Schizosaccharomyces pombe: one gene and its partner. The protein of the gene in region 1 binds, or shares a complex with, the protein of each later gene. Each region holds a gene or a part of one and is shown on either strand. Other genes may lie near its edges. The genes, in order: cox6 and cox5. A codon is read from its position in the direction of its gene.

What was found.
Region 2: the proteins of cox6 (region 1) and cox5 are in contact, whole or in part, in a cryo-EM structure (PDB 8C8Q), measured with the Schizosaccharomyces pombe proteins. Residues at the interface, in NP_593931.1 of Schizosaccharomyces pombe: Ala90 (codon at 4,511), Arg91 (codon at 4,508), Asn94 (codon at 4,499), Asp95 (codon at 4,496), Phe96 (codon at 4,493), Pro97 (codon at 4,490), Thr98 (codon at 4,487), Ala99 (codon at 4,484), Val100 (codon at 4,481), Arg101 (codon at 4,478), Glu104 (codon at 4,469), Glu129 (codon at 4,394), Leu130 (codon at 4,391), Gly131 (codon at 4,388), Ile132 (codon at 4,385), Val133 (codon at 4,382), Lys135 (codon at 4,376), Leu138 (codon at 4,367), Phe139 (codon at 4,364); in NP_588158.2 of Schizosaccharomyces pombe: Gln74 (codon at 1,128), Lys75 (codon at 1,125), Gln76 (codon at 1,122), Pro77 (codon at 1,119), Trp78 (codon at 1,116), Thr79 (codon at 1,113), Ile83 (codon at 1,101), Lys86 (codon at 1,092), Lys87 (codon at 1,089), Ala89 (codon at 1,083), Tyr90 (codon at 1,080), Ala93 (codon at 1,071), Phe94 (codon at 1,068), Arg100 (codon at 1,050).

Annotation. Positions count from the first base shown.
Region 1 is NC_003424.3:2,809,247-2,819,556, reverse strand, and holds cox6 (cytochrome c oxidase subunit VI), read right to left. Parts: upstream 5,265-10,310; 5' UTR 5,190-5,264; coding exon 5,041-5,189; exon of another isoform or gene 4,958-5,040; intron 4,805-4,957; exon of another isoform or gene 4,630-4,804; coding exon 4,356-4,629; 3' UTR 4,062-4,355; downstream 1-4,061. Other genes in the region: plasma membrane potassium ion transmembrane transporter Trk1, read left to right, coding at 1-1,301; MCM complex subunit Mcm5, read right to left, coding at 1,372-1,479, 1,520-1,892, 1,934-3,615; SPOM_SPAC1B2.06 (uncharacterized protein), read right to left, coding at 6,520-6,774; elo2 (putative GNS1/SUR4 family protein), read left to right, coding at 7,093-7,145, 7,189-8,119; transport protein Ugo1, read left to right, coding at 9,750-10,310. UniProt on the Schizosaccharomyces pombe protein: Component of the cytochrome c oxidase, the last enzyme in the mitochondrial electron transport chain which drives oxidative phosphorylation.
Region 2 is NC_003421.2:1,350,799-1,359,212, reverse strand, and holds cox5 (cytochrome c oxidase subunit V), read right to left. Parts: upstream 1,420-8,414; 5' UTR 1,348-1,419; coding exon 787-1,347; 3' UTR 501-786; downstream 1-500. Other genes in the region: ctp1 (CtIP family endonuclease), read left to right, coding at 1-86, 131-322; efm2 (methyltransferase Rrg1), read right to left, coding at 1,976-2,887; proteinase B inhibitor Pbi2, read left to right, coding at 3,704-3,937; COG complex subunit Cog4, read left to right, coding at 5,004-7,220; ado1 (adenosine kinase), read left to right, coding at 8,129-8,414. UniProt on the Schizosaccharomyces pombe protein: Component of the cytochrome c oxidase, the last enzyme in the mitochondrial electron transport chain which drives oxidative phosphorylation.

The DNA of each region.
Region 1 (10,310 bases):
CTTCTGCCTTTGCTAAAAAACGTGAGCCTTCTATTTCATCAAGACACACTACTATGTCACTTCCCTATTTGTCGTATAATCCTACTGTCGATCGTAATTCTGCTTTCGTTGCTTTGTCTAAAGAACAGCGGGACGAGCTGGGTGGAATTGAATATAGAGCTTTGAAATGCGTCTGCTCCATGGTTACCCTTTATTTTATCATTTTTAATATTGCTGCCTTTGTGACCTTCATTGTTTTTGCTTATACGGCAGTGGGATCGCGAGAGGTAATAGATTCTTATGACTTACGTCGTGGGTGGTGGGCGTTATTCTCGTCTGCTTCTTCATTTAATGATTTGGGGTTTTCTTTAATACCATCGTCTTTTGTGCCAATGAATCGAAACATTTTTCTTTTGTTGATTTCATCTTTATTCATTATCGCAGGTAACACGGGATTCCCTTGTTTTTTTAGAACATTCATTTGGACAACGTATAAGCTATACCCTTTTAGTTTTGAGAAGAAAGAAGCTATGGCATTTCTCCTTGATCATCCTCGACGATGTTTCACTTTATTGTTTCCATCTGGAGCAACCTGGGTCTTGTTTTTTGTTTTGCTGCTGCTTAATGTCATTGATCTGGTATTGTTCATGGTCTTAGATACTGGAAGTAAAGCAGTCGCTAGCCTTCCTAAAGGTATTAGGGTTGTAAATGCAATATTTCAATCAGTTTGTACAAGAACCGCAGGATTCACGAGTGTATCAATTAGTGAACTTCACCCAGCAGTACTGGTCAGTTACATGGTTATGATGTATATTTCTGTTTATCCAGTTGCTATCAACATGAGAAATACCAATGTTTATGAGGAGCGATCTTTGGGTGTTTACAGAACTGAAGATGATGAGGGGAAATCTTTCTTAAAAGATCACCTTACTGAACAATTAAGTTACGATTTATGGTATATTTTTCTAGGGCTATTCATCATATGCATTTGTGAAGGAGGTAAAATCTCCAATCCTCTAGATACCGATTTCAGTATTTTTACTGTCCTTTTTGAAGTAGTCTCTGCTTACGGTACGGTGGGACTTAGTACTGGATTAAGCTCCTCAAATTGTTCACTTTCAGCAAGATTTACTACTATAAGTAAACTAGTTATTATAGCACTTGAACTGCGCGGTAGACATAGAGGTTTACCCAGGGCTGTTGATCGAGCCATCCTTCTTCCTTCTGAAAAAAATAATCTGAAAGAAGAAGAAGATTATCAACGTCGTCACGGATTTTCCATAGACAACGCACGTGGCAGTATTGCAGTTTCTCGAGACTGATATTTCTTATCACGATCATGTATTATATTTGTAAATTATATCATCTAATAAATAGTACGCTCGCTAAATTTCATACTCCTGATCGATACACCGTTTGTCCGCCATTTCTGAGTTGAATTGTTTCCTTCGACGAAAGAATTTGTAAAGCCATTTCTAACGCGTGTTGTGAATATCCATGCTAAAATTATGTTAGACTTAGATTTAATCAATAAACATACCCCATTTACGTATTCTCGTATAAGCATACGGTAACTCGCCTGAAACCCTATAGGTAACCTTTTTCTTAAGCTGGCTTCAATTTTTTTTACTTCCTCAGTAACTTCAGGCGAACTTTGTGTAGCAGCAGCAAGTGTACTGGTCAAAAACAGTCGAATCGCTTCAGTAGCGTGAGCTTCAGAAGCAATAGGTGATAATGACATTTTTGCAAGGGATTCAGTAATTCGTATGATTGCCTCTAATTGACGAACAGTGATTGGAATGGTAGAACGCGAGTTACTGTCCTGCTCTGACTGATGAACACGTTTTCGAATTGCGACAAATTGACTAGATAGCTTTTCAGCTGCCTCTGCATCAAGATTAGGTGCACATTTGCTAAATCCATTAGTAACTAATATTAAATTTGGTATACTTACTGTCTACAATAGTTTATGTACCGCCGAAACTTATCAAAAGGAATTTCTCCAATTGCTAAAGTCTCACTAGATTCTTGTAAATTGGTATGAAGATTAATAACGTGACGGGCAATATTTCGATCCTTTGTTTCATCATGTTCATCCTTAACAATAAATATCATGTCGAATCTTGAAAGAATCGTAGATTGAAAATCAATGTTTTCACCTGGTGTCTTCATATCATCGTATCGGCCAAAAATTGGATTAGCAGCAGCTAAAACGGATGTCCTAGAATTCAATATAGTAGTGATACCGGCTTTAGCTATTGAAATAGTTTGTTGCTCCATTGCTTCGTGAATAGCAACACGATCTTCATCCCTCATTTTATCAAATTCATCAATACAGACAATGCCACCATCAGCAAGAACCATTGCGCCACCTTCAAGGTAAAATTCTCTGGTAACTGAGTCTCTTTGAATAGAAGCAGTCAAACCAGCAGCACTTGAACCTTTACCGGAAGTATAAACAGCGATGGGGGCCAGTCGCTCAACGAATTTCAAAAATTGAGATTTCGCAGTACCAGGATCACCAAGAAGTAAAACATTAATGTCACCACGAAGGCGCATACCATCGGGGAGAATTTTTTTAGAACCTGAAAAAAGTAGGCATGCAATAGCTTTCTTGATGTCTACATTACCATAAATAGCGGGAGATATGCTGTTGGATATAATATCGTACAAATTCGGAGTACGAGAAATTTCAAGGAACTCCTCTTCTTCCTCTTCACTAAATAAAGGAGTAGATTTAGAGCCATCATTTGAATCCATTTGAATACCCACGACTCTGATATAAGGGTTCCGAATGGCCACGGCACCACTAGCTTTAACAGACTTATTTTGAAAAATAGAAAAAATGCCAGTAATAACGCAGCGGGTTCCCGGAGTAATTTGGTTAGTTAAATAGCGATCAGCATTCAATAATATATGACGAGGCAACTCACCGACAGGAACCATATCAGGAGCTTCCTGTAGTTTAAGCACCTGCTGATCGATAAAAGTCGATTTTGAATGATCAATAATGAAAGGATCCATCGGGCAGTCTTTTTTTTCACCATCGAGAACAGGAGCTTCACAAACTCTAGGAAGCTGAACACCTGAAAATCCACCAGAAATCTGTAAAATCCTGGTAGCCCTACAATTTCTGCATACTAAGTGCAAAGCAGTTGCACGGCAGGAAAGTGTTGAAGCACCGATGATGATACCAGGCACTCTAACCAGTTTTGAGATATGAGAAGCTGTCAGGTTACGGATTGGAAGGATGTTAGCATCGTAACGTAGAGTTACCTGGCAAGTGGGGATATTCGTAGAAGCATTTTCTTGACTTCTATAAAGTAGGCGTTTAGCAACTGTAGTGACAGCAGACTCAAACAGAGGTAGAATATCTGTCGGCTGACTCAGAAGCAAATGAGCTAGATCTTCGTTATAACTGATCAGGTGCCTAAGATCTATGTTCAACATGTATTGTTTTACCACGAGATTGTCTCTTAGTTGAGTACGATAGATAAAGTCATTGTCAATCACAAATTCTTCAATAAACTGTATGAAATTCTTCTCATGACTAACATTGGAATCTAATTCTTGCTCTCCTGGGAGAACTGGGGTATAATATACAGCACTCCGTTCCCAACCTGTTGCTGCAGCCATTATTGTGATGAAAAAGACTAAGGGGAATGAGTTAAAAAAAAATAAAAAAGCGAGATAAAAAAGATGATATGGTATAAAATAAAGGATGAAGCAAATTTCGCTGCTCTTCGAAAAAATAAAACAAAAATTAGAAAAGCTCTTCAAAACCTTTACAGAATGAGTTGCAAAAATGATATAAATATGTTCTTAAATTACATGTAACTGCAATAAATATTTTACGCGTGAAGAAACGAATGTAATGCTGTAAAATATATTATTGAACAACCTCTGTGGTGTTTGGTGAAAGGACTAATACATATTGCCCTTGCTGAAACGAACTTCAACTACACCCTTAAATCTTTTGTTAAAAGGAGATAGTCTGCTTACAATTTTTTTTTTAACATTTTAAGTAAACATGTATTAACTGCAAGCTATTTTCTACGTGAACAAAATGAAGATGTATATCGTTACAGATTCACTGCTATACTAGACTTAAAAAAGAAAAAGAGATAAGATTACTATAGCAATTCTGTTTGTATGAGAAATGGTATTGGCATTTTTATTTGATAATTTCTTAATCCTAAAGAAACATCATTGCGTGCGGACAGAAAAAAAGTGATGATAATCAAAATCAGTAAATCAGTTTTTTTAAAGTCCTTTGAAAAACGCAAATCATAGTTAAGCACCAAGAAAAGGAGAGTTGTGGTAAAGAGCTACAAATTTCAAAAGAAGAGGAGACAGATCAAGAAACTTAATCGGACTTACTTAAAAAGATCCTCCTTCAATACAATACCTAATTCATTGCAAACAGGCTTAAGCTCCTTAACATACGCTTGGTACTGTTCTTTGGTTGGTAGTTTCACTTTAATACCTTCGAAAATCCTTACGGCGGTAGGGAAATCGTTAACACGACGAGCAGCACGTAAAGCTTGTTCAATAACATCAGAAGAAGGCACGATATCGTAGGCAAAACAATTATTTAGGCCTCTTTGGAGCTCAAATTGATCCTGAACATTTGAAAAGAAATCGTTATACCTACGTAGTTAGTAAACAGTAAAACAAGAAATTTTAAATAAAGGAAAAGCAGAGCAGAGCAGAAGTAAGAATAAGCTTCCAAAGAAGGAAAAATGGTCAATTTTTCTTGTGTAAAAACTAAAAACGTGAAAACTGAGAAAAGAACAAAAAATAGCAGACAAATAAATAGCTATGAACGCTCATTTACTATCATTCTAGAGATGCTAAAATGAAAATATTCAAACCACTTTCAGTATTGGGTACTCAAAAGTCAATGATAAAACAGACTGCTTTCGTGTTCATTTTATTCTTTGCAGTTCCCAGCATTCCTATTTCCGCATTTGATAATAAAAGTGCTGAATGGAGTTACTTTTCAGGCATTGCAACATGCCGAACAATTACCTATTCCCTTATCGTCGTTTTTTTACATACTTTGTGTTTATTTCTTCCAAGGAAACCCCGTGGTTACTAGAAAAACGAACTTGTCTGTTTGCAGCTAAAAACCCAGCTTGAAAACGAACCGAGGGTCCTGCGGCGACAGAAAAGCGGCCAGTTTGAAAAATACGTTGAACTGCTTTCATTATAATGAATTAGAATTGCTTCTTGCTAAATAAAAGTGAAGGGGAGTGGAGAGTAGATGGAAGTAGTAGTACGCTAAGGTTTGTAATATATCAAGAAGCAAACAGTTTTCTAGTATAGACTATGTATTCAAGAAAAAAGCTATTCAGTTATATTAGAAGTAGGATGAAGAAAACCTAATGACTGTAATTTTATATAAATATGTTTTGCACTTGGTTGTGAGTAATCTGTACAGATCGATTATTGAGAGCCGTGTTTAAATGAAGATTTACGGCTCACAGACTAAGGGCATTCCATGTTATTGTAGCTTCTAAAGGTCTACTGCTATGAAATGATTTTCTTAGTTTTAAAGTATTTACTTGTTATGTAGAGTATTAGTTCGACATGGAATTTTCAAGCAAGCTCAATTAAACTGGAGTGTTTATACAAGACAGCTGTTTCATTAATTAGAGAAATATGACTTTTACTATGCTGTAGAATGAAAATTCTCATCTGTTTTATATTTAGCGGAAGACATTTTGCTGATAGATATTCATTTAAATAGTTATGTCAGAGATACAAATTCAAGTGAATTGAAACTCATGTTGGAGTTTTAGATGTACTTTCTATAGGCAGGTCTATTCGAAGGATTAAGCATTCTAGCTCCACTAATACTCTAGGAGTACCAAATGGAAGGAAAACATAATCCGAAAAAAAGTTCAATGAGAGATGTCGAAGGGCTACTCAATCAATTTTTGAAGCCATCGGTGATTGGTGAAGTGAATACTTTTCTTTTCACTTGTAATTGACTGCTACAAAAAAATTGTTGGACAATCTAACCTTTTTTATTAAGAGTGTGGATAACGTACGAAATTTTTAATATTCATATGCATTTTTTTTATTAACTTATCTCTTTTTCATATTACTTCTTTTTTCTAAAATTGCTTGGCTTTTGAATGTTTATGTCACCATCAATCTCACTCACTAGTAAGATTTTCTAATATCTACCAAAATTTATGGGAATCTTGAAAAACTGACTTTTAAAATTTCCATTCTTCAATAAACACTTTTACTAAAGCATCAGTTCAGCTACCCTTGTAAATGCCCAACCCATCTCTTTTCCGTCTTTTGTTTACTTTTGGGAATGCGTTACTTATCTGAGTAGCATGTGCTTTTTGTGGTAAAATTGGTTCAATTTAATTGGTAAAAAAAATAAAAAAATAACAATGTCACTTGGTTGGGCCAGTATAGGTAACGTAAATTTGTTGAACCGGAAAACGGAATGGAAAACAAAGTATGAAGAACTGAGGCAGTTGCAGGTATTTGTTTTGCAAATGTTAATAAATGAATTTTTTAAAGACATACTTTCACGGAAGGTGGAAAATTGAGAATCCACCTTTCGCCATTGATCTTATGATGAGGACCAATCGTGAAAACTAGTAGTCTATAATCGATCAAAATAATTGCGCACACACGTATCGTACAGCAGATGCTTTGCACGATCGCACATAGTCGTGCGAAAAAATAAGAAGAATAAGAAGAGCTTTTTGTAAAAGTTAGGAGTTCAGAGGGCTCCAAGATTTCACATTTTGGATGTGCTTTGGGCATCCATGGGTCAATACGTTTGTTTGACGATTGAGTAGAATGTAACTTGTTTGTTTACTTGCAGTGATTAGTTTTTTTTTGTGACCTGCCTTTCTTCAGTTCCATCGGAACGGACTAGTAAAAAAAAAAAAAAAAGAGGATGGCAAGATGCCGGGAAGGGCTGGTTATGTCAAATTATACACATATGGGATTTAAAATTTAGAAATTATAATTTTTAGAATATTTTAAAAAATATTTTAAAATTCAAACTCAAATATTTATTGTGTACATGTGTTGATTTCCTTGTCTTCTCAGCGGAGAATGGATCTAACCGGAGCACACATGTTGAAAATTCACCGACCCAGCATTGACCATCCATTTGGAGTGGACCTATGGTAAGCAAAGCGTAATTATGCATTAAAACTAACTTTGGAATAGGCATTTGTTTGAGCAACTGAGCATCAAAACTATAGGATGGAATCCCTCTGAATTTGAGTACATCCCGGGTAAAACTCCCATGTCTCAGTGGTCGAGCGTAATTGTATCCATTACCGCTTACTATGTTATCATTTTGAGTGGTCGAGCGATCATGACAAATCGCAAACCTTTGAAACAACGTCGTCTTTTTCAACTTCACAACTTCATTTTGACTATCATCAGTGGAGCTTTGCTTGCTTTGTTGGTAGAAGAGGTTTTTCGCAACTACATGCGTAACGGTCTCTTCTACTGCGTTTGCGATTCTCGTCATTTTACGCAGAGATTGGTTACCTTGTACTACCTCAATTACTTGACCAAGTACTTGGAGTTGATGGATACGGTGTTCTTGTTTTTGAAGAAGAAACCCCTTGCCTTTCTCCATTGCTACCACCATGGTATTACGGCTCTCTTGTGCTTTACTCAACTTCTCGGTCGCACCTCCGTCCAGTGGGGTGTTATTGGCTTGAACTTGTACGTTCATGTTATCATGTACAGTTACTACTTCCTTGCTGCTTGCGGCCGTAGAGTTTGGTGGAAGCAATGGGTTACCCGTGTTCAAATCATTCAGTTCGTCCTTGATCTCATCCTCTGCTACTTTGGTACCTACTCCCACATTGCTTTCCGTTACTTCCCTTGGCTTCCCCATGTCGGTGATTGTTCTGGTTCTCTCTTTGCCGCCTTCTTTGGTTGCGGTGTTCTTTCGTCCTATTTATTCCTCTTCATTGGTTTTTACATTAATACCTACATCAAGCGCGGTGCCAAAAAAAATCAAAGGAAAGCCGCCGGTAAGGCAGATAACACCTCTGTTGCTGCCGCTGCTGGCTCTGAAGCTTTAGCCGCTACCACTGCTACTAATGCTTCTCCCTTTTCTGCTCGCTCAAGGAAACTCTAATGGAGAGGAATGTGTACGGCGTGCAGACCCTTGTTTAGCTTTCTTTTGTATTTTCAAACTTTCTTAAGCGTAGTCCAATTTCATGGTACCGTCGTCATCTTTTTCACAAGGAAAAAAACTCAAAAGACGATACTTTGGGATTGAAATTGGAAAATATCATTTTTTCCAGCCATCTAAAAGTTCCTTGCTTTTGGTTTTTTTTATTTTACTCTTATGCACGGCTCTTCTAGGGTCGTCATTTCTTCTTTCTTTTTTACTTTCAGTTTTTTTTCTTTAAAAATTTAGATGGCGGATTTATTTCTTTGCTTGAAACGGTGGGAATGCATGGGTTTCAGCGTATGTCTGCTTCTGTTTAATATTTCTCTAATTCCTGAGACATAAATTGCAATTGGTTTATGGGGTGCTTTTTATCTTAATTTAGTTATTGCAAGCATCGATTTGTTACCCGTATGTCTATGGTCTTAATAGTATTTAAGACATCCTTTTAAAGAAAAATAGAAAGCGGGTTAAAATAGTCGTTTGCTTCTTTATGTGCCTTCGTTCTTCATTTCCCTTTTCTTTTGTGTATATTGGGTGACATTTCGACATCTTCAAGTTTCTGCGTTCTCTCTTTCTATTTACCATTCGATAATTAGGGATGCGTCGCGTTTCGAGTTCTTTTCCTTTCTGCCAAATATTTCCATTCTTTTTAACATCTTTTGTCTAGTTCGTGTGGTTTGCGTCTAGTTCAAAGTAATAATTTCTTGTTTCTAAAACAACCCCAATCTACTTGAACAAAAGTTAGTAAAGTTTGGACGGATATTTCAAGCTCGATGGAACGCTCCTTTTTCTACGTGTTCCTTTTTTCCTAACTTTCTACAAAGTTTTCTCATATTCTTTTACTTGTGAGTTTGATAGGCATTTACCTTAATGTACATATTATTATCGTCTATCATGTATTAATTGCTCGCGTAAACTTTGGTTTGTTGTTTCAGTGGATCAGAATGAGTTGAATGGCATTTGAAGGATGATCATTATATAAATATAGATATATATACTTATGTATGTGCTTTCAACAACTATTTGTGCATGTATTGAACCGACTTTGTATGGTCGTTTTTGAAGTGTTTTAGTTTTAAATTCTTGCTTTTAGTCATTGTGGAGATATAAGATTTGCATTTTTGTGTTTGACAATTTGAATTGAAATGTAAGTATAAAACATTTATTATTGGATTGTACGTCCAGTTATTGATTTTCATTTTCAAAGCAGGCGCACAGCAAACTTAACTGTTTGTTCTTGAGTTGTTACCAATTTTCATTAAGATAATTTAGTAGATTTTTTAATAATGTCTAGTGATTGTCGTAATAATATTTTGCAGAATTTGGTGTATAGTAACTTTTGGGTCCATTGCTTTCTGTGCGTATCATACCTTCAAGTTGGTGATACCTTACTATAAGCCATCACACTTTGGTACCAAAAAGTTTGTTAATTTACCAGAATTCAAAGGATTGATGAAGGTTAACGACTTCTTTTATTAATTTTTTATCCAAAGCTAAGCAATTTTTGAAATTATTTGCAGTTAAATCTATATATTGAATCATTCGTAAACGAGTTTGGAGAACTCATTTTGGAAAAGAGCAAGCATACAGCATGAATCCATACAGACCATATGTCGTGGTTAACAATGTTGAGCCTACTTTTTCGATAACTCCAGAACCAACGTTTGAGACGCAACCGACCATAAGCAAGAGTGAGATTTTTGAGACACTCAGAAGTATTCTAGTGACCAAATATTTAACGACGTTTTTTGTACAGCCATTGGAAGTAGCAAAAACTGTCTGTCAAGTAGAAGAATATTTACCAAAACGAACTAAAATTGAGCGTGATGGGAAACAAACAAAGGAGCCTTATGATGAGGATATTCCCGATGGCACAGAACAGGAAGGTCTCAGTGATGATGAACACGAAATCTATGCTTACTTTGAAACACCTACCACAGAAAAGGCAGTAACAGAACAGCTAGCTGAGAAACTTTGCGTCGATGCGTCTGGCTATGTAACTGATCCTTCGAATCTCATCGAGAGAAGCTATACAATTCATTCGAAAAGATTTTCGATTAAAAGTATCATTAGTGAGCTATGGGAGAAAGAAGGAGCTAGGGGTTTATGGAAAGGTCATACAATCAGCTTTTTGCATAACTTACTTTATTCC
Region 2 (8,414 bases), on another chromosome or scaffold:
TTGAGCCTGAATTTTTAAACGATGATGTTATTCGAGGTAATAAACGTAAAGCACTTCCTGCTTACGAATGTCCGGATTGCCAAAAGGTAAGAGTATTTTTGGCTTTTTTCCCTACTAATTGGTGTTTTAGTTCTATGAGTTACATGGTCCAGTCAAAGAAAGCAGCGTTGCGCCTACTTGGAATGACGAAAACCGCTTGGGTGGTGGCTCTTTACCCAATTGTAAGCATCAACCTTTGGTGCAAAAAGTAGGCCGGCATCGAAAATTAAACATCCCCAAACCTATTCCAAATGGTTTTTGGGAAAGTGATTTTGTAGATTAAAACTAAATAATGATTGTGAAACTTCATCCAATGACAACTTGTCTAAATAAATTGATACGCCAACCGTGTACATAGATGTATTCAGAGATCATTAGCATGAAGCTTACAACGTTACAATAAGCATTCGAACTTCGATTAGCGTTCACTACCCCAATTGTTAATCAACTACATTCAGCAAAGCAATGAATTTACGATTTACTATATTCCGGACTTATTCACGATAAGCTGAAATTTTCATTAGAAAGGGGGATAAATTAAAACTCGTTTTTAGAAATAAAAGAAGCGAATGTAGCAAAGTCAAACCTTCCAGTACCTGATAATGGTGGGTCCGACGAAGTAGCATCTTACCATGAAAGTCGAGTTAGGCTCAAGAAATAAAACAACTAAATAAATTTTCATTTGACTAAGCAAAAAGAAACCCAGATCATGCTGAAACTTTATTGAACTCAAAATGTGGGAATTTCTTATTTCTTGTCCTTTTCGGAGGGGGAGAAAATACCACCGGAAATTTGACCACGTCCCTTAAACCCTTCGCTAGCTTCACCACTAATAGGGTTGATCTTGTTCTCCTTCATGTACTCATTGGACTTCTCTTGCCATTCACGAGTCATGGTACGAGGAGAAGGAGCAGCTTGAGTGCGGATGAGACCAAACAATACGACACCGATCGTTAAACCAGCGACAGTTCCCCAAAAAACTGTCTTTTGACTAATGTGGCTGAAAGCACGAGGACCGTGTTCACCAAAAGCAATCCAATATGCGGCTTTCTTTTCCTCAATGGAGAGTGTCGTCCAGGGTTGTTTCTGACGAGCATACAAATCTGTGATAAGACCGTCTTTCTCCTCCTGAGACATAATACCCCAACGCTTGTCCAAATCAACCAAACGAGGACGAGCGATCATGGCCTCTCCGGAAGGCTGCTCTTTCTGCAAAGCGTTGGTAGCAGCAGCACTCACAGTAGCAGCATTGCGAGTGCAGAGAAGCTTCATTGGCACTTTTTTGCAGATAATTTTTGAAAGATACATAATTATTAGCTTAATTCAATAATTTAATGCTAAAAAGATCGAATTATAGAGAGAGGGGGAATTTGGGTGTGTAAGGAAGAAGGCCAACGCCAATCCTCGGGAGTCCCATTGGCACACTGTCGGAGAAATTAGGGTAGGGTTTAGCTTCGCATGCTGATTAAAGATCGAAAGTACGAAGGGTAAGTGAAATGTTTATGGTTAATTCTACTTTCTAATTTCTAGTCCTCCGTTTGAATTTGTAGAAAATAACTATGAAAGCTCATAGAGACGAAACGATACTAATGTGTTGCTTTGAATGAACGCGGAAGGATAAAAAAGTATTTACAAGAAAACAATCGGTAACTTTCTCAAATAGATTTTCTACTAAACCGTAATTCAGTATCGATGTCCTGTTGATCTAAACCAACCTACGCAATTTCGTTCCTCTAAACAGAAAAAAGCGGGCTCAAAAAGCCAGCTTTAAAACCAAAAGTGATTCCCTTTGATACTGTAAATAATACAAAAGAATCTATTGCTTTGCTATTAAAATCTAAAATTATTCAAACAAGGAAAAAATAAAACCCAATTATTTTGGCTCGCTTTTTCTAGTTTGCAACATGGTTTGACCTATAGATTGATACATTTTAAGTTATCCATGGTATTTCCATCTACTCCAACGACAAGTTACTGGGTATAGAGAGCCAAAGTCTTCTTCACCAATTTCTTCTCCCATTTGTCTTTCAAATCCGGCGGCGTCCATTCCCTTTTCAAACACACCTATTTCTTCCAAATGTGTTTCGCGAAGTGGATACTCTGTGATAACAATCCCGTCCTTAGCTAAATATTTACGAAACAGTGCAATGGCTAACTCGCCGAAATGAGTTTCATAGATACAATCACTTGCTATAATCCGTTGAAATGGTTTAATAAGCCATGATGGTCGGTTATCATCATCTGGGGGATTCATCCAATCTAATACATGACAGCTTACTGAACCCGCATATTGCTGGATAAGTTCAGAATTGTAATCAACGTTATACTGCATATTTTCTACTATATCTGGTAGATCTGTACATACAACTTGCCATCCTAATTGAATGGCTGCACTAATGCCAACAAGCCCAGTCCCAGCCCCTAATTCTAGCGCGTTAATGGAATTACTCAAATCTTCCCATTTGGGAAGATTTGCTGAAAGCAAGGGAGCAGACCCCCATGTTTTAAATCCTAAAGTATTATAGGTCATAGTGGGCTCTCGAAGAACTACAGAAACACCATTTGAAAGGGAAAATTCCCTCTTCCTAGTAGGAGCTGCAAGTCTACCACTACGCTCTGCAATTCGTTCACAAATCGTGCTAACCAAATAGTCTCGTTCCTCTTCAACTGTGATCCATTCCAAATTTGTAGCTAAGAGCTTGATAAGCCAATTGAGGATTATTTTCTCCTCATACTTAGGAAGGTCCCACAAGTGCTCCCCAGTAGGAATTTTGTCCAAAACATCTTTAATTTGAGAGTAAGAAGGCTGTTCGTGACTTAAAGGTAGATCCGTGTCTTCTAAAATCATTGTGATTTTTTTAAAATACCCAAAACCAGAGACGAAAAAGCAAAAACAAAAGAAATCCCAAAGACCCAAAAAAGACAGGAGTCAACCTGTTTTCCTTTGCAAACCAGCTAAATTTTAAACAAATGAGAATCCCAATTAACTACCTATGTGAGAGTATGCGTGAGAGACATACTATGATTAAGTATGGATAAAACGAAATTTCTCTCTTTACCATCCATGAGTCCAACTTTTCAAATTAGATCAAAGCTAGGTAACATGTACCTCGCAGGAGTGAAATCACGGTGTTGATCAAAAAGCAAGAAGCAATTTAAAAGCACTGGTTATTAAAGCATCTAATTTCTCAATTTCATTCTCACTCAACCGCCTATCCCAAAAATACAACTCAATTCCAATGGATGTATGTCTTTTCCAGACCGCGTTGTCTACACTGCGTGAAAAAAAGGAATAATGAGGAATATTGTGTCCCTATATGCAAATGCAATAGCCTTCTCAATGTACAATACGAAAATGTAATATATATTTTGTTATTTATTTTACCAAAGTTCTTTTGACTTTCGTTAAAAAGTATACTGAAAGAGAAAGAGCTAATAAATTGGCTAAGCAAGCAATGTGCACAACCGTTCTATTTAGATAAGCTGACCTACGTAATGCACATGGCGAATGCTATATAAACCAGCCTTTTCCCCTTTGCGCTCAATTCCTTCTTATCTGTACTACATAAGCTTGTTCATTTTTTGACAATTAAGTGAATTTTAAGTACAGCTAAAAAATCTGAAACGCTACTTTCCTTGTTTTTTTCGCCTTCGTTATTTCGCCATGAGTCAAAAGTCGTATATCGTTCAATTGAAAGATTCTGTTGATCCTGCATCGATGGATAAAATAAAATCTGATTTAGAGGCATCTGGTGCTAAAATTGGTCATACTTATGATACCGTATTTAAGGGATTCAGCGTTTCTCTTCCTGAGAATGCAGTAGATGCTTTGTCTGCTCATCCTGAAATTCAACATTTTGAGCCTGACCAAGAGATGCATACTATGAAGAAGGATTAGATTTCTCTCCTTACAGAAAGTTTCGCCTCCATATCAATTGCTTATAGTTGAGCTCGTCACTCGTCGCACGCATGCGTTTCTACACTCAAGTACTTTATGACATTTCATATACATCGTTATGATCAAACAAATACCAATTGTTAATTTGATGATTTTTTTTAGAATTAATTAGTAGGTCGGTCGCGTTTTACCATTTCTTTGTGTCGACCAATTCGACCGTAAAATAGTACACACATTTTTGTAATGTCTTAGTAATATTCGCTTCCCAGTAGTAACTTCCATAAAGATCTAGTTGTTTGGACGAGGAGAGGAATATTGGTACAGCAGTGGGAAATCGAGTAAAGGATTCAAGGTGAAAATAAATAAATAAAGAAAAAGAGAAGCAATTCTTAGAAGGGGGTATACATGAGTATGTTTTAGGTAGAACTGAGATGTTTAACATAGACTACCTTCTTTGTGAGTTGTTGTTTGGCCATCACATTGGTGACAAATATGCTGAAATTTCGAAAAACATGGATTTGTATTTAACAACGAGGCGTAGCAGAAAACCGTAAATTTTTAAAATACAGCTTTTGGAAATTGCTCTTCCATGACTTTTTATTACAGTTGTACTATAAGAATGAATGATTGCACAACAAAATATACTCTCCTATATTTCCTGCCTCACATCAAACATTTAAAGAACAACAGCGAACTCTCGCTATTAGAGTCTGCGATGTTGCGTTCTGTCAAATAATGATATTTATCGTCTCGTTAATTATTAGTTACTGGAATAGTATGATATCGTAAAGTTGACCATTTGCAATGCACTCAGTAACTCTTTTTTTAGTAGGAGTCAATTGTGCGGCATTTGGCAAGTTGAATGGGAGACGTTGCAAGGTTTACTAATTTATTTAAAAATTAATTAATTCGAAAATCAACTGACGACAACCCTTACTTTGGTTTCTTTCACTCTTACTTTGAGTTTTTTAATTGTTATTTTGCGCGGTTAATATTCACAACCTCGTAGATTTTTTGAGATAATTTGCGAACGCGTTTTAGTCTTTCTTTATTTAATGAGTGTACAATGGACATATCCATCAATGACTGCACTGATATCTCGCAAATTAAACAACGGTTTCATGACTTACAAGTCGAATCCCAACGAACCGACGAAAAGCTGGAAAGGCTGCTAAGCGATGCACAGCCGACTGAGAAGTTCAATTCTTTAATCAAGAATATGGCAGAACGTCTAGTGCTGTTTGTAGGTCAGATTGAAGAGCTTAAAGATGCTTTTTGCAATACCACTATCGTTAGCGAGGAGGTCATTGAGAGAATCAAATCGGTCGATAGAGAACAGAATCGTATAAAAGAGTGTCTTTTATTTGTTCGTCAAGTCCGAGATTTCAAAGAATGTTTGCAGGATCTCAACAGAGCTATGCATCACCAACAATGGGAAAAAGCAGCTGATTTAGTACATCGAGCAAGCTCCACATCGCCGGCTATCATCGAAGGGAAATTTGCACATGCCGTTGTTCCCACAGCTGAGCAACCTTTAGCGCCCATGGACACCTTAAAAGAAATCACCGAATCTCTACACACTCTCTTTTGGCGGGAATTCCATAAGGCCGCCCGAAATCAGGATCAAAAAGAAATCACTCGTTACTTCAAACTCTTCCCTTTGATCGGCAAAGAAAAGGAAGGATTAGAAGCTTATTGGCATTTTTTTGGTGGAATTATTGCTTCTAAAGCTAGGGCCACTCTCGATGAGCCCCCTACTCATGCTCTTTTTTTTGCACAGGCATTTACCGGACTGGTCGAGCATGTTGCTTCTATCATACGCGCACATACGCCTCTTGTTCAAAAATATTACAAGGCCAAAAACACCATCACCGTTATTGAAAAATTGCAAGGTGATTGTGATCGCCAAGGTTCCATTATCGTGAATACCATGTTTGACGTGAGAAGAATTGATAACCTCGTAAGCTCTATAGCTTCTTACAAATACATTTTGTTACATGCGAAGTTGAAAAATCGTGCCTTTGTTTCGGATCAAAAGGAATTAGAAAGGGTCTCTCTTCAAACGCTACATCCGATTTTGAATGAAATGTCAGCCATTGTCTCCAAATGGAATATCTCAAAAATATTTATTAGCCGTCTTGTCCTTCGATTGTCCCAATCTGATGGTACTTCGAATGATCCATCTGTCCAGGACAATCTTATTTGTGCATCTATTTTCAATTCTTCAAAGATGGAACTTCTGTTAAAAAAGCAACTTCTTCCATCCTTATTACAATTAGAAACATACTATTTCAGGAGAAGTATAGAAACGTCTTTGGAACTTGAGGAATATTACACAAAGGTTTCCCCATGGATGAGCTCTATTGTAGACGATGTCATGTACGTTACGAAGCAAGTATTCCAACGTGCGTTTTTTACAGTCTCCTCTTTATTCTTCACCAGATTTGTTAACGAAAGCTTAATCCCTATTTTAAGAAATGATTACTATGTCTACCTTTCCCATAATCTTTTAACTGTCTGTAACATTATAAAAGCTCAGTTCCAGAGGCTAAAGAATGCAAATAGCATTCCCGCCAAACAAGTCGAAAACTACATAACATTGGTAAATAGTGCTTCACTCAGCAAGCAATATCTAAAATCAATTGTGGATGGTGTTTCTAGTCGGTTGGAAGAAGTTTTTGCCTTTGCCAAAGACCAAAAATTGGTAAAGAAATCGATTGATAATTTTTTGCAGCTAACCGTTAATTTTGAAAATCTTTGCAAGACTTCTTTCAACATGTACTTTCCGATATTTTTATTACCCCGAATTGAGCAATGCATCGATGATTCCTTTGATGGAATCAACTATGTCTTGTCCTATGAAGACTATACGAAGGAGACAGAACATGAAAGACTGGTAGTTACCCGTCTTCGCAGCGTTTGGGACAGGGTTTTGTTGCTGGAGCAATTTACTCCTGAAAATCAGCTTTCTTTACGCTCTATGGCATGCGAGAAAGCTGCAAGTTATATAGAAAACCTCATACTATATAAGATTCAGTGGAATGATTATGGTGCTATGGCATTAGAAAACGACATTTCTAGCTTAATTACTATCTTTTCCAATGATCAAGCTAATCTCCGACATAGCTTTGAGCGTTTGCAAGAAATTCTAATCTTATTAGTATGGGAAAGTGATTCTACAGCCCCAGAGCAATTGATCAACGATTTAAACCTACAGCTACTATCCATAGATATTGTTAGCGCTATTATGGAAAAGAAAGCGAATGTTCAAGGTGAAGATTAACGACCTTTTTTATTCAGGATATTTGAAGAAGCACCAAAAGTTCTTTAGTTGTAATCTCCTGTCATATCCTAAATTTATCCTAAAAAACGGCGGATCATCGTCTCCACGTTTAGCATGATGCCGATATCTATTTTTTTTTCACTCTATTTTTGTTTTTATTTCTTTATTCGTATATTGAAAATTTTGACAACCGGCTACCCTGACGCAGTGCAACTCGATCATCATTTATCTTAGTTTATTATTTCTTCCACACTTTGATAAGTTTTCCGCTAAAAGTTGAAGCAACCCCTTTGTTAAAAAAATAATACAGGAATGGAGTTAATATTCATGACCAATTGTATATAGCATCAAATATCGACTCTTTTAATCTTTATTAGTTCTAATTTTTCTCGTGATCGGCCTTCTTAAATAAGTATTGTGATTATAATATACCGAGGCGCAAAGGAGTGTGATACAGTTTATATCGTTTAATTATGCAGTTTGCAATCAGTTTAATGAAGGTTAAAATTGCGATGAGTATTAGTTGTGACCTAGAATTCCAGTATACAGGTACAATAAGTAACATACACTGTCAATCTTCAGTTACATAGTATTATATTTTTCACCAATATAGCTAATAACTGAAATTGAGGATGCTTGTACAGTTATGCTTATATTGATAATTTTTTTAGCTGCTCAAATTTTAATAGTTTATTAAAAATAGTATGCCTTTACCATACAATATATAGCGAAAGATAAACAGACCATATGGCATGTATCGATATTTAACGCAGTATAGTATTAATAATATAACGCATTACAATTATGCCATAATATCGCTCTTTGAACATTAAGATACTTTACCTGTTGGTGTATTTTCTCGTGGTTTTTCTTTAACTTTTTCCCTTCCCTTACTACAATCATTTATCATGTCTTCATACATCTTGTTTGGTTTGGAAAACCCTCTGTTGGATTACTATGTTGGTGGTGAAACTGCAACTCTTGAAAAGTATGGCTTGAAGAGCAACGACGCCGTCTTAGCTTCTGAGAGCCAGATGGGTATCTACAAGGAGCCATGCGTTAGCTACAGTGCCGGTGGTGCAGCTCAAAACAGCTGCCGTGCTGCTCAATACGTACTTCCTCCTAACTCTACTGTTTTCGCCGGCTGCGTTGGTCAAGATAAGTTTGCTGATATGCTTCTTGAATCGAACGAAA